Linked DNA regions of Arabidopsis thaliana. The protein of the gene in region 2 interacts with the protein of the main gene of each other region in a pairwise test. Each region holds a gene or a part of one and is shown on either strand. Other genes may lie near its edges.

Evidence for each region. The genes of interacting proteins can lie anywhere in the genome.
Region 1: the proteins of AT1G68030 (region 2) and AT1G29950 interact in a two-hybrid assay, tested with the Arabidopsis thaliana proteins (one large-scale study listed by BioGRID).

What each region holds. Positions count from the first base shown.
Region 1 is NC_003070.9:10,489,808-10,497,203, reverse strand, and holds AT1G29950 (basic helix-loop-helix (bHLH) DNA-binding superfamily protein), read right to left. Parts: upstream 5,507-7,396; 5' UTR 5,371-5,506; intron 5,230-5,370; exon of another isoform or gene 4,850-5,229; intron 4,769-4,849; 5' UTR 4,307-4,768; intron 4,139-4,306; 5' UTR 3,744-4,138; coding exon 2,988-3,743; 3' UTR 2,606-2,987; downstream 1-2,605. Other genes in the region: AGL64 (AGAMOUS-like 64), read right to left, coding at 1-474; AT1G29960 (Peptidase S24/S26A/S26B/S26C family protein), read right to left, coding at 1,353-1,400, 1,529-1,639, 1,953-2,177, 2,266-2,391.
Region 2 is NC_003070.9:25,499,878-25,503,700, reverse strand, and holds AT1G68030 (RING/FYVE/PHD zinc finger superfamily protein), read left to right. Parts: upstream 1-1,897; 5' UTR 1,898-2,031; intron 2,032-2,133; 5' UTR 2,134-2,153; coding exon 2,154-2,280; intron 2,281-2,325; exon of another isoform or gene 2,326-2,351; coding exon 2,352-2,545; intron 2,546-2,618; coding exon 2,619-2,726; intron 2,727-2,804; coding exon 2,805-3,323; downstream 3,324-3,823. Other genes in the region: AT1G68040 (S-adenosyl-L-methionine-dependent methyltransferases superfamily protein), read right to left, coding at 739-825; ATTPS6 (UDP-Glycosyltransferase / trehalose-phosphatase family protein), read right to left, coding at 3,460-3,747.

The DNA of each region.
Region 1 (7,396 bases), about 15 Mb from region 2:
CTCCATCATCTTCTTCACCTCTTCGCGATCCTTCACGTCATTTGGATCCACTTTCCACCACGCATCCTCATTCATGGGCATCATCTCCGCCAATGCAGCCGTCTTCTTTAATTTGACTTCTTCCACCGTTATCTCCTCCACCAATCTATTGTATACTTTGCAAAGCTCTTGAATCTTCGCTTGCTGATGAGCATTCATGACCGATCGTTGCAACGATGATGAAGAAGACGACGAGGCCTCGCCGTTGAGAAACCGCTCTGCCACGGCTTGGAAGGACGGACTGCCGAATGTGTATGGTTTTCCAGAGCAAGAATACCCGAGAAACGCAACTTCAGCACCACAGAGAATGGAAAGCTCACTGAGTTTAGTGTAGATACCATTTCGACGCTTAGACAATGTGACCAATCTGTCTTCGTCTTTTTCAATTTTCTTGATGTTAATCCTTTGTTTTCCTTTGGTTTTCTTGGGTTTCATTTTGGAGAAAAACAAAATTATGAGTTTATTGGCTATAAAAAAATAAGAGAAATTTAAACTAAGTATTTGTTTGCTGTTTTTGGCTTTAGCCAAGGAATATGTTTTTTTTGTGGGTGCAAGATAGGGTTTATATAGATGGAAAAATGGTAGTAATTTAAATTGCATAAAAGTTAGTCAATTCTTAGATTAATGTTTGGAAGGTTGGTAATATTGATTATCCGCATAGTTATGGTTGATTGATAACAATTGTTAATGTTGGATGTAGAGACTTTGACTGGAAAAACTTTTTTTGTAAGGACTTTGACTATATAAATTTTTATAACCAATTGGTAAAAATTGTGATAGTCGAAACTACGATTTTAAATAACTATCAAATATGTGGGAAAACAGAAAATAAATCACAATGATTGTTTTAAAAATTATTTGACACACAATTAAGAAAATCCCTACAGTTTGGCTTGACAAACTTGACGTTACCACCAATTGGTATCACCATGATTGATTTAAGTGAAAATAGAGCAATCTTTAAAATGTGGGGAAATGCTATTGATCAAGTAGTATTTTTAAATGGTTATAAGATTTTCCCATGAATAATCTTGGCTTCACACAAAACATTCGATGTTTGTTTTAACTTTTTGATACAGAGGCGACTCTCACATACAGCGTCAGACCAAAAATACATAATGTTACGTGCTCTCAAGTCTAAACCATATACTCACTTTTCCTGAGCGTTTAGATTCTCCCATCTTCGTGAATGGTATGATGATCCTGCATCTCATAGTCAGTCATGAGCCAGACTCACTCGGCAACAACGATTAACCATACTACCAATCTGCCTCGGTCATCTCATTGGCCTAATGACCAAGCTAACTCGTATGCTAAGTTGGGGTTGGTCCAAGCGGTCCAAAATCTTGAAATGGCCAAACCTACACATTATTATACATACCGAAGATTAGCCAAATAGATTTACCAAAACAAATGCAAATAACACATTTGAAGTTCCGAAATCAGATAATCTAACTATATTTGTAAGTTAATGACAAAAAGTTTATACCCTCCAAAGCACTCTGCCTTGAATAAGACCGTAAGGTACAGTACCAAAGTTTCTTGAGTCTCGTGAGTTATGAGTATAGTCACCTTGAACAAAGACATGTCCTTTAGGAACCTAAAACCAAAAAAACATCGAAAGATCAATTCGCCATTAATCCAACAAACTAAACAATCCAAAGGAAATTGTAATATACACCAATAACACTAACGTTGCTAAAAGATTCAAAATTTTCCATGAATTGCAATCAGCTAAATCGAGCTCAATACTAATTAACAACTTGTTTCAACTCTGATCACTCAATTTCTCAACAATGTATCTACCTTCTTCAAACTCAGTTCTCTAAGTACAACATTCAAAAATCTCATCCATAAGCAAAACCAAAGTGAAGTGAAGTCAACAAGGAAGAAGGTTAAGTAACAAAACATACCACAATGGTTTGAGATTCATCACTCTTCCTTGAATCAATCACAAAGCTTATACAATCACCTTCAATACCAATAACTCTTTTAATTGGAGTCTTATTAGGGTTTTCTGGAGATCGTATCACAACTATATCTCCACGACTCGGTTTCTGATACCGCTTCGAGATTCTCTCCGCTAATAACACATTTCCCGAAGGATGAAGCGTCGGAGTCATGCTCGGACCATAAGCCTGCTCAAAAAGACTACATCTTTATGGTAAATTTTCAATAACGAATTCGATTTACACCAAAAAAGAAGAGAGATTTCGATTGACTCACATAAGCCATGAATCCGAGATAGTTTGTTGTTACATGAAGAAAGCAGTAGAGTTTCGCGAGTAACACGCCGCTTTTCATGGCTTCTCGTGAAGCTGTGTTCCAGAAAGACGACGACGGAGTCGCCATTGCCTATTTCTTCAACTGAATCCAACGAATCGAGATTTGAGAACTACACAAAGTCTGCAGATTTCACGAAAGTGTGAAGCTTTGAGACGAATCGTTGAGCTATACTGTGTAAAATAAAATGTAATCATAACCCAATTTATAAACCCGGTTATTTAATAACCCAGTTAATTTCCATCAGAAATTGAATTTTGGTTACGTATAGGACCCGTTTTATGGTATAAGCGTGACTTTTCAAAATGATGGCCCTTACATTGTTCAGTAGAAGGAAGACCAAATGTTTAAAACTATGTAGAAGCAAATACATAATGATAATTGTAGTTCATAGTCAAATGATTACAGTGAAAGTAAAACCATACAAATTAAAATCTCAAATCAAATCCACAAGTACTTGTTCAAACCTTGCTTCTTCATCGAAGCAGTAACACACAAAAAGCAAAATACATAGAGAGATTCAAACATAAAATAGATACCATCCTGCCAACAAAAGGAAGTGAGTATAGAGGGAGGAAAATAAAGAGAAAGGTCCAGATAGCGCTAGACCGATGATTTACCTCCCGAGAAACAATAGTGATGGAAGAACCGAATATCGGTAGCATTCAAGATTGGTTTGAGAAATGTCCAACGCCAAGTTTCTGAGCTTCGATTTTAAGTGACTTGAGATACTGAACAGCTTCATCAAGAACGCAAGCTGTATTCATCTGTTCTCCTCCAGGGACAATTCTCCTCAATACTCCCATCATCTTCTTCATCTTTTTACGTCCTTTCCCATCATTGTTACTACTACTAGCACTGCCCGATAAACTCTGCTTCCTTGAGTTGTTGTTGTTGTTGTTGTTGTAACCATAACTGGAACAACAAGATTCTGCTGTGGTGTTTCCATAATCCCTGGAAGAAGTACGAGCAGTGCTGACTTCTTCTGAATCACCACCATCCTCTTCACCTTCATTATCATCATTCTCTTCATAATCTTCATCTGCGCTCAAGAGAGCATCGATCTCATTTGGATCTTCTTGATAAGAAGAGGATACTTCTTGCTCATAGTTACCATAGTTACCATAACTTCCCCCAACATACTCGTTCTGAAACGTCGAAGCTAAATTGTTCAACGAAGGGGTATTCATGAGCTTATGAGTCAGCTCAGGATGGTACATCACTTGGCTGCGGTCATATGTTTGATCGAAGATGACAAAGTTCTTTGGACAGACCGCAGACGGTTGAAGTTCAACACCATGGTATGGCAACTTTGCACATGGTGGGAACAAAGCATCATAGGATGACCCTGATGCATACGGGTTGTGCATATTTCTGTCACCCACTTCATCTGAGAAGTGAGGAAACTGATTGTTCTGCATCAGAAAACCCGTGCAAACGTAAAAAAGGAAACGCAAAGAGAAAAACAAGTTGTACACCTCAAACTGCAAGCTGCTTGAATATTTTCTACTACCGATTTGTCGCCTTTGTAAGCTTCCAGCTGCTCAGTTACTACTACACTAAGTTGACACACGGAACCAAATGCTATATCAAGTTATGGCCATCATACTAAAGATATCACGAGTTTCCACCAGAGCCCTTACCCCCCAAACCAGAAGCTCCCCCACAGACAGCTCTTCAGAATACCAGACTCTTTAACAACTCACAGTAAATTTTTTCGAAATCAAAAGTAGATAGCCGCTCAAAACCCCAATTTCCGAAAACTCCAGACGCTAGACTACGTTACAGGCTTAAGCAACTGTCTGAAATATTCAGCCTGCAATGATTTATAAGAAAGGTTGAATATCAGAAAAACTATGGTTAATACTCTAACAAATAGCTATCCACATGTCATCAAGAGGATAGAGTTCTTTTAATGACATAAATCAGTGTTGCCTAAGCGATAGAAGTGTTAGGAAATACTAAATCAAAGAGAGGCATGTACCTGGCAAACTTGAACGGATTGGTAATTAGCAATGAAACATGTAGTCATCATAAAAGTTCCTATTTCCTTCAATGATCGGTTTCCCTTCTTGTTTCCAACAATGCACATTCTCACAAACTAACCAGTATAATAAGCACAACAACAAAGAACTATTCCGAATTCCGGAAACAACACCTGCAAAACAAGGAAGAGATGCCAATAGTTTTAACACAAGAAGCTGTATATAAGGTGGCAACAACAAAATTTGCTTCCACAAGGTACCAATGTAAGACAAAAACACAAGATGTGAAATGAGAGGCTGGCTCACCTGAAAGGAACAAAATTACAGAATAACGAGGAAAAAGACAACCAGACGAGTGCAAGTTCTGTTGAAAAACATGAAGAATGCTGTCCAGGGCATCTTTGGTTCTTCCAATATCAAATTTGTAAGTGTATTAAATACCGTTCCTCTTCTCACAAACTCTGCACAAACAAACAAAAATTAGGACCAACGCTATTCAAATACTAATATATTTTCAGTATAGGAAGTTGAAAGGCACTAACTTCGAGGTAGAATCCTAAAATAACTACTGGCAAAACAAAACAGAGAAACAAAAAAATGGGAAATTTCTAATTCCTGATTCAGATAATAAAAAAGCACAACTTTAGGCATCTGCGTACAACAAACAAAAAGATAGGATCATGACTAAAGACATTAACATCGGATCCAGAATAAATGTTTTTCGATTTCATGATCACAAACCAAAATCAAAATAACTTAACAACTCTGCTTCAAAACAGAACACATAGAGGAAACAAAACCTCAACAAAAGAATTGGACTTGTTAAAAGAAAGAATCTTTACGCGATCATGAATAGTTTATTAATAATAACACAAACAAACATAAACAAGACAGAACATTCAATAGAAAAATCAAATTCAGCAATCATCTGATAAACCATAAAATAGCTATTTATGAGATACCGTCAAAGTACTAATTACAAGACAAAGAAAAAACATATAAGTCCTAATAAGTCAGAAATTGCGGCGGTATAAAGAAAGAAAGAAGCAGAAAACATTCATACCGTAGAAGAAATCAAAAACCCTTTGGATCAAATGAATCGGTGATGCGTAAAAACTAAAGCTTTAGAAGAATCTGATCAAATTCGAAAGAGTGATTTTTTTGTTTTGTTGTTACAGAGGAGAAGAAGAAGAAGATCTAAAGAGAGAATGATGTGTGTGGCAAAAAGAGAGAGAGAAGGGAAGGGTAGAGAAATAAGGAGAAGAGAGCGAGCGAGCGTGGCTTTCTTTTTCTGGTGCGGTTTGTTTTTTTTCGTTTGGTTTGCCCATTTTCATTTCTTTAATCACTCACTCACACACACTACACTAGTCACTACACAAACAAACATTGTTTAAAGTTAATAATTTCGTTTCACGCTTTTCGTGCGTGAATCTACTTGTTTTGTTTTTTCAAATGTGGAGCAAAAAGATGTTTAACTTTACCGCAAATTTTTGGAATTTTCAAAAAAAAAAAATGCACTCCTATTAATTTGATTCATCCAAGATAAAAAGGTAAAAAGCTTGGACAAAATATGTCTTTTTACTTGTTAGATTAGATAAAAAAAAATCTTGGAGTAGAAAGATGACACATTTTTATTAGTAGTGTTATTTAAATCCAACAAAGTATAAGAGTGTCGTGATACCTATATTGTTTCTTAACTTTTTCTCAAACAAAATATTTGTTTCTTAATCTTTTCATAATGTTCAGTTTCTTTAATCTGTTTCTTTCGGCATAAGTAATTCTTTAACTATTTCACTATCTAACTATAAAAGTGGATATTACTATTACAGTAGAAACTCTATAAATTAATACTCGATAAATTAATAAACACGGTAAATTAATAAATTTTGTAGGTTCCAAGTTGTGCCAATATAAAAATTAACCAAAATCAATAAAATAATAAGATAATCATTTTTTTAAAATTCCTATGTAAAATTATAGTCCCAATAATATTATAAATTAATAATTATAGATCTTAAATATATATTTTAAGACTAATTTTTATATGAAATTTTTGTTCAAGCTATAATTACAACTCTTTTTAAAATACAACTGATATGATCTCTGTTGTACTCACATAACTATTTGCGTATTTGATCCGTCATAGTTGATTTTATAAAATCTTTTATTTGAGAAAGCATTACTATGATTTGTGTAAAGAGAAACTGGATTAACTTTCATGTTTACGTTTACGTTCACGTTAATGTCGTAGATATACAAATACAAATCTTACCGAAAATAAATTAAAGAAGTCAAATTAAAATAAAAACCTAACATAATTATATATGCAAACAACAAAGCATATAGAAAATTACATTAAGAAATATTTTTAAAAGAATATAGTATCGTACTTTACGTAAATATTTCTATAAATTAATATTTATTAACTTATACGGTAAATTAATATATATTAATTTAGAGGATAAATTAATATCACTATAAATTAATAAAATTTTATGGCTCACCATTATTAATTTATAGAGTTTTTACTGTATCTAGTAAAATTTACTAAATCACTCTATTTGACCGGTGTCATGCTTTAGATTAGGTCTATTAAAAAACTCATGTATATCACTATGTAAGTGGATAGTAAAAACTCAAACAACTTCTCTTTAGGAAAAAAGAATTACTGTATGTAGAAAATATGTTATCCATTTCTGTAAAGATGGAACACACTATGATTACAGTGTTTAACCCATGTATATCACTATGTAAGTGGATTTTCTTGAATGAAAAGTTTTTTAAAACATAAAAATAAAATAGATGTTATGATAAAATAATAAATAGTGGAAATTAAATGGAAAAAAAAAAACAAGAAGAGGGAGCACGCGTGAGGGGATGGACAGAAGAGAGTCAAACAAGGGAAAGTGTGAGCCGTTGGATGAAACAATCACAAATGGTTTCCGTTTAATGCGGCCTTGATCGTGACCGTTGGTTTGGTTGCTCCTTTAGCACGCGTGAAAAGCTTTTGTGGACCTCTATAGCTCCCACCAAAAAACCAAACTCTCTCTTCTTTGACAATTTTTATTTGTAGTTTTAGAGACGACACA
Region 2 (3,823 bases):
TGTTTTTTTGTGTGGCTCGATGAGTTCTCGACATTTTAATATCGTTATTGAAGTTTCCTTTCTTTTTTGAAGTACATAACAAGGAACCAAATTTTGATTAAAAAAAGTCATATATATATATATAAGAGATGATAAAATGAATTCATGAGCTTCCAATTGATCCGAAAAGCCAGCAAAGTAACATGTGTGTATTCGAAAATCAACTGATCATAATCTTAATTTGTCTCTATGAAAATTACGAACCAAGGTTTATTAGTTTTTGACAAATATTATATTATTTTACAAAATCATCATAATATCCTAAATTCAACTCATCATTTTAATGAAATTAAAAAAAAAAAGAAATCTTCAAAACTATGTTATTAATATCCAAATAACCGAACTCAATTATAATATGATGAACCTGAAAAGTTATAACTCTACAATTTTCGTTTCTTTCAATTCTACTATTTATTCATATTGAAAAACATGATTCCATTTATCTTTCTTTAGTATTTAGAACATTTATCAGATATTTTGTAATTATTCCGTAATCTCATACCGCTTCTTTACTATCTCTTATCTCTTTAAAATTATTCAGTAATCATACACTTTTTTTTCTACCTGCAAGTTTTTTTTTTTTTTTTGCATCACTAATTGGGAACCATGAAAAAAAGAACAAACAATAGTGGAAGAAAAAAAAAAATAAAGATAAGAAAAAAAATATAGAAAAATGGAATAAAAGCTCTGAAAATAGACCTGCAAATGAGAATTCTTAGAGTAGCTGTTCGGACCATCTCCCCCACTCATAGGAAGTGAGTTACGAACAATCTCCACTTTTCCCATTATACTTTTTTTGATTTGCGTCTATACTTTGGCTATGTCTCGCCTATCATTTATATAGGCCATGCACTTACCACGTAGTGCTTGATATTATATTTACTTTAACAATAATTGAAACCCTCTTGAATTGAACTATACAACACATACACACACGCGATTATATGCGTATAAAAACAAGAAATTAATACAAGAATTTGCTATCACACATACACAAATCAAAGTACAATGTAGAAAAATATTTTTTGAAAAGAATAAGTTCGAATATATAGTACAATTTTTTTAATTGTAATCAATAAATTTGTTCTTCAAATCACTTAAGATGGCCAATTATCTAATAAGTAAGAATCTTATTACTATAAGTTATAGACTAGCTACTACTCTACTAGCTAGGGAGAATCATCATTGGAGTGGAATTCATTGTTTTCTTTTTTGGTGCAACTATAATAGATGGGTTTTAAGCCAATAAAATTCTTACAAACCAATATAGTACACTAGTCATTGGTTTCATTCACTGAGCTTAGACGATCCCATATCCATATCCAATGAACTACTACTACATATGTTTTTAATTAAATAGAGAAGCTAATACTGAATTATCATCAGTGGTTATTATGACTGTGGTCCTAATACATTACGTACAAGACGACCACAATACATATATTATTTTCTTTTAAAAAATTGAGTATTATTTCTGAACTAAACTATAGGTCTTGCGTGGGAAAACTACGTAATCGTAGGGGCATCAAACTAATAATTAAATCATAGGTTAAACTACGATAATATACCCATTCATCTTCAAAGGAGATGCTCTGTACTAATATATCCAAGAATGAATCAAAAGATGCCAAAATATATGTTTATAAACATAAATCTCTGTTTATATCTCTATCAATGCGTTTCTTGATTCTTTCATAATTAATAAGAGATATGTTATTGTTATATAAACAAAAATAATAGAACAAGCAGATAACTGAACCAAATAAAATTTTGGTAAAATAAAACGCTATTCTGCCTAACTTAAGAACATATCAGAAAACGCTATGGGCCTATTATTGGGCTTGGGCCTAGGATCTTTCTGGGAAAGAAAACGCTCATCTTTCTCAACACAAGTGAAATTTCTCCAGTGCTTGCTTGAATTCTGCAAATTTGGCGGTCTCCAGCGAGAGAGAGCTATTCAGTCTTCAAATTCTCTCCGTTGAGAAAAAAGAGGTACACTTGTGTTTCATTTTTCTCGGAAAGTACGATTTTATTTCTATTTTTTTTGGTTCTCTTCACGAATCTGAAGACTGATTTTTCCGTCTCTGTCAACAGCTGCTATTTTATTCGTGTCGATGATGGAGCCTCCGAATTCAAACAGTGTCTGTGATCGCTTTGTGACTGGGAATTTAGACCTTGATAACTGGATTTGGATTATTGAGTACTTTGCCAAATTCAAAACTGAGCTTTGGATGTTAAATGGTAATTGAATTTTTAATTGCATCAGTTTCTTTGAAATTTCAATTTCTGAGATTTTGTTTTATTATTGCAAGATGTCTTTGAATTGGCTCCTAAGCTTCCAGATTATTTGGGTGAATATACAAATGAGATGGTAGCTTTCAGATGCCTAGCTTCTTTGTTTGATTCTCATGTTGTTTCTGTTACTACTACTACTACTACTACCTCAATGATCGAGTTTGATTCCTCTGAGAGCTGTGAATATGTACTCCAATGTATCTTAGATGAGGTACTAATCTTTCATTTCCTTTTCAATGTGGTTTCTTGATCTTACTTAGATTGCTTGATTCTTCGTTTTCTAGATACCGTTATCGGAACTGAAACCGGGTGCACCGGGTTTAACGAAGTGGAATCTTCAACCTTTTATCAAACACAAGCTTCTTTCTCTACCAAAATGTGCTTTGGAACTGGTATTATATAAGTTTTGCTTTGAAGTTCCTTTTAGTTTGAGAGCACTATAAGGCTTATGTTTGTTTTGTTTTGATCAGATGATTGAACCATCATCATGTGAGAATGATACTCAAGTGTCTCCTTGTAGTGAGGAAGAGACTCTGAGAAGTGATGGCAAAGAGAATGACCGAGTTACTCCTCCAATGGATGAGCCAGATCTTACGGGAAGAACAGAAGAGGGAGAGTCATTTTCTCGTGGGGCTGATGAGTTGCTCGATAGAAGAAATGCCGGATTTCGATATGAAAGCGAAAATGATGGTAGTCATTTGTCAAGTCCTGTAGAGAAAATATACAGATGTGTTAACTGCAAAGAAAGTGGGAAGCTGTTGTTTTGCTCTAGTGATGGCTGTGAAGTCATGGTTCATCAGAAGTGTTTGGATTCACCACCTTCTTACCATGATGCTGGAGACTTTTACTGCTCTCTCTGCGCTTTAACCTGTCCTTCAGCTGAATATGTTCAATTTCAAGATGAAGTGGCTAAAGCAAAGAGGAAATTAGTTTCGTTTCTTAGACTAATGTCAGAGGTTAACAAGAAGAAATCTATTGAAGGAACCTGAACATTTTGTAGGATGTAAAGCCTTACTCATATATTCTAAGATTGTCAACAAACATAAGATCTCTCTTTGTTACAATTTTCCGTGGTAGATATACAAACATAAGATCTCTAGTCTCTGATACTTTCTCTGTGATTGTTTAAACAGGAGTGATCTGGTCTGTAACAGAAGCTAAACCATGCATTAACCTGACAATCTCAGTAGTGTCATCCAGGTAATACTTGGCCTTGCTAGGCTTTTGACCGACAGTACAAGCGAAAATCTCAGCTCTTGGGGCAATCGAAGGGCCTTCAGTGGAACTGCAGATCACCTCAAACATGTCTTCGTCAGACCGGTCATCTCCAATACATAGAACAAACTCAGGAAGTGTTCCTCTTTCTTGCATCATCGAAAGCATCCTTCTCGCTATAAGTCCCTTGCTCACGCCCTGCATGACAACAACAAGAACTAAGAAGACTCTACAAATGGAAACATATGCCAAGGTTTTTTGGGGAATTGAACTG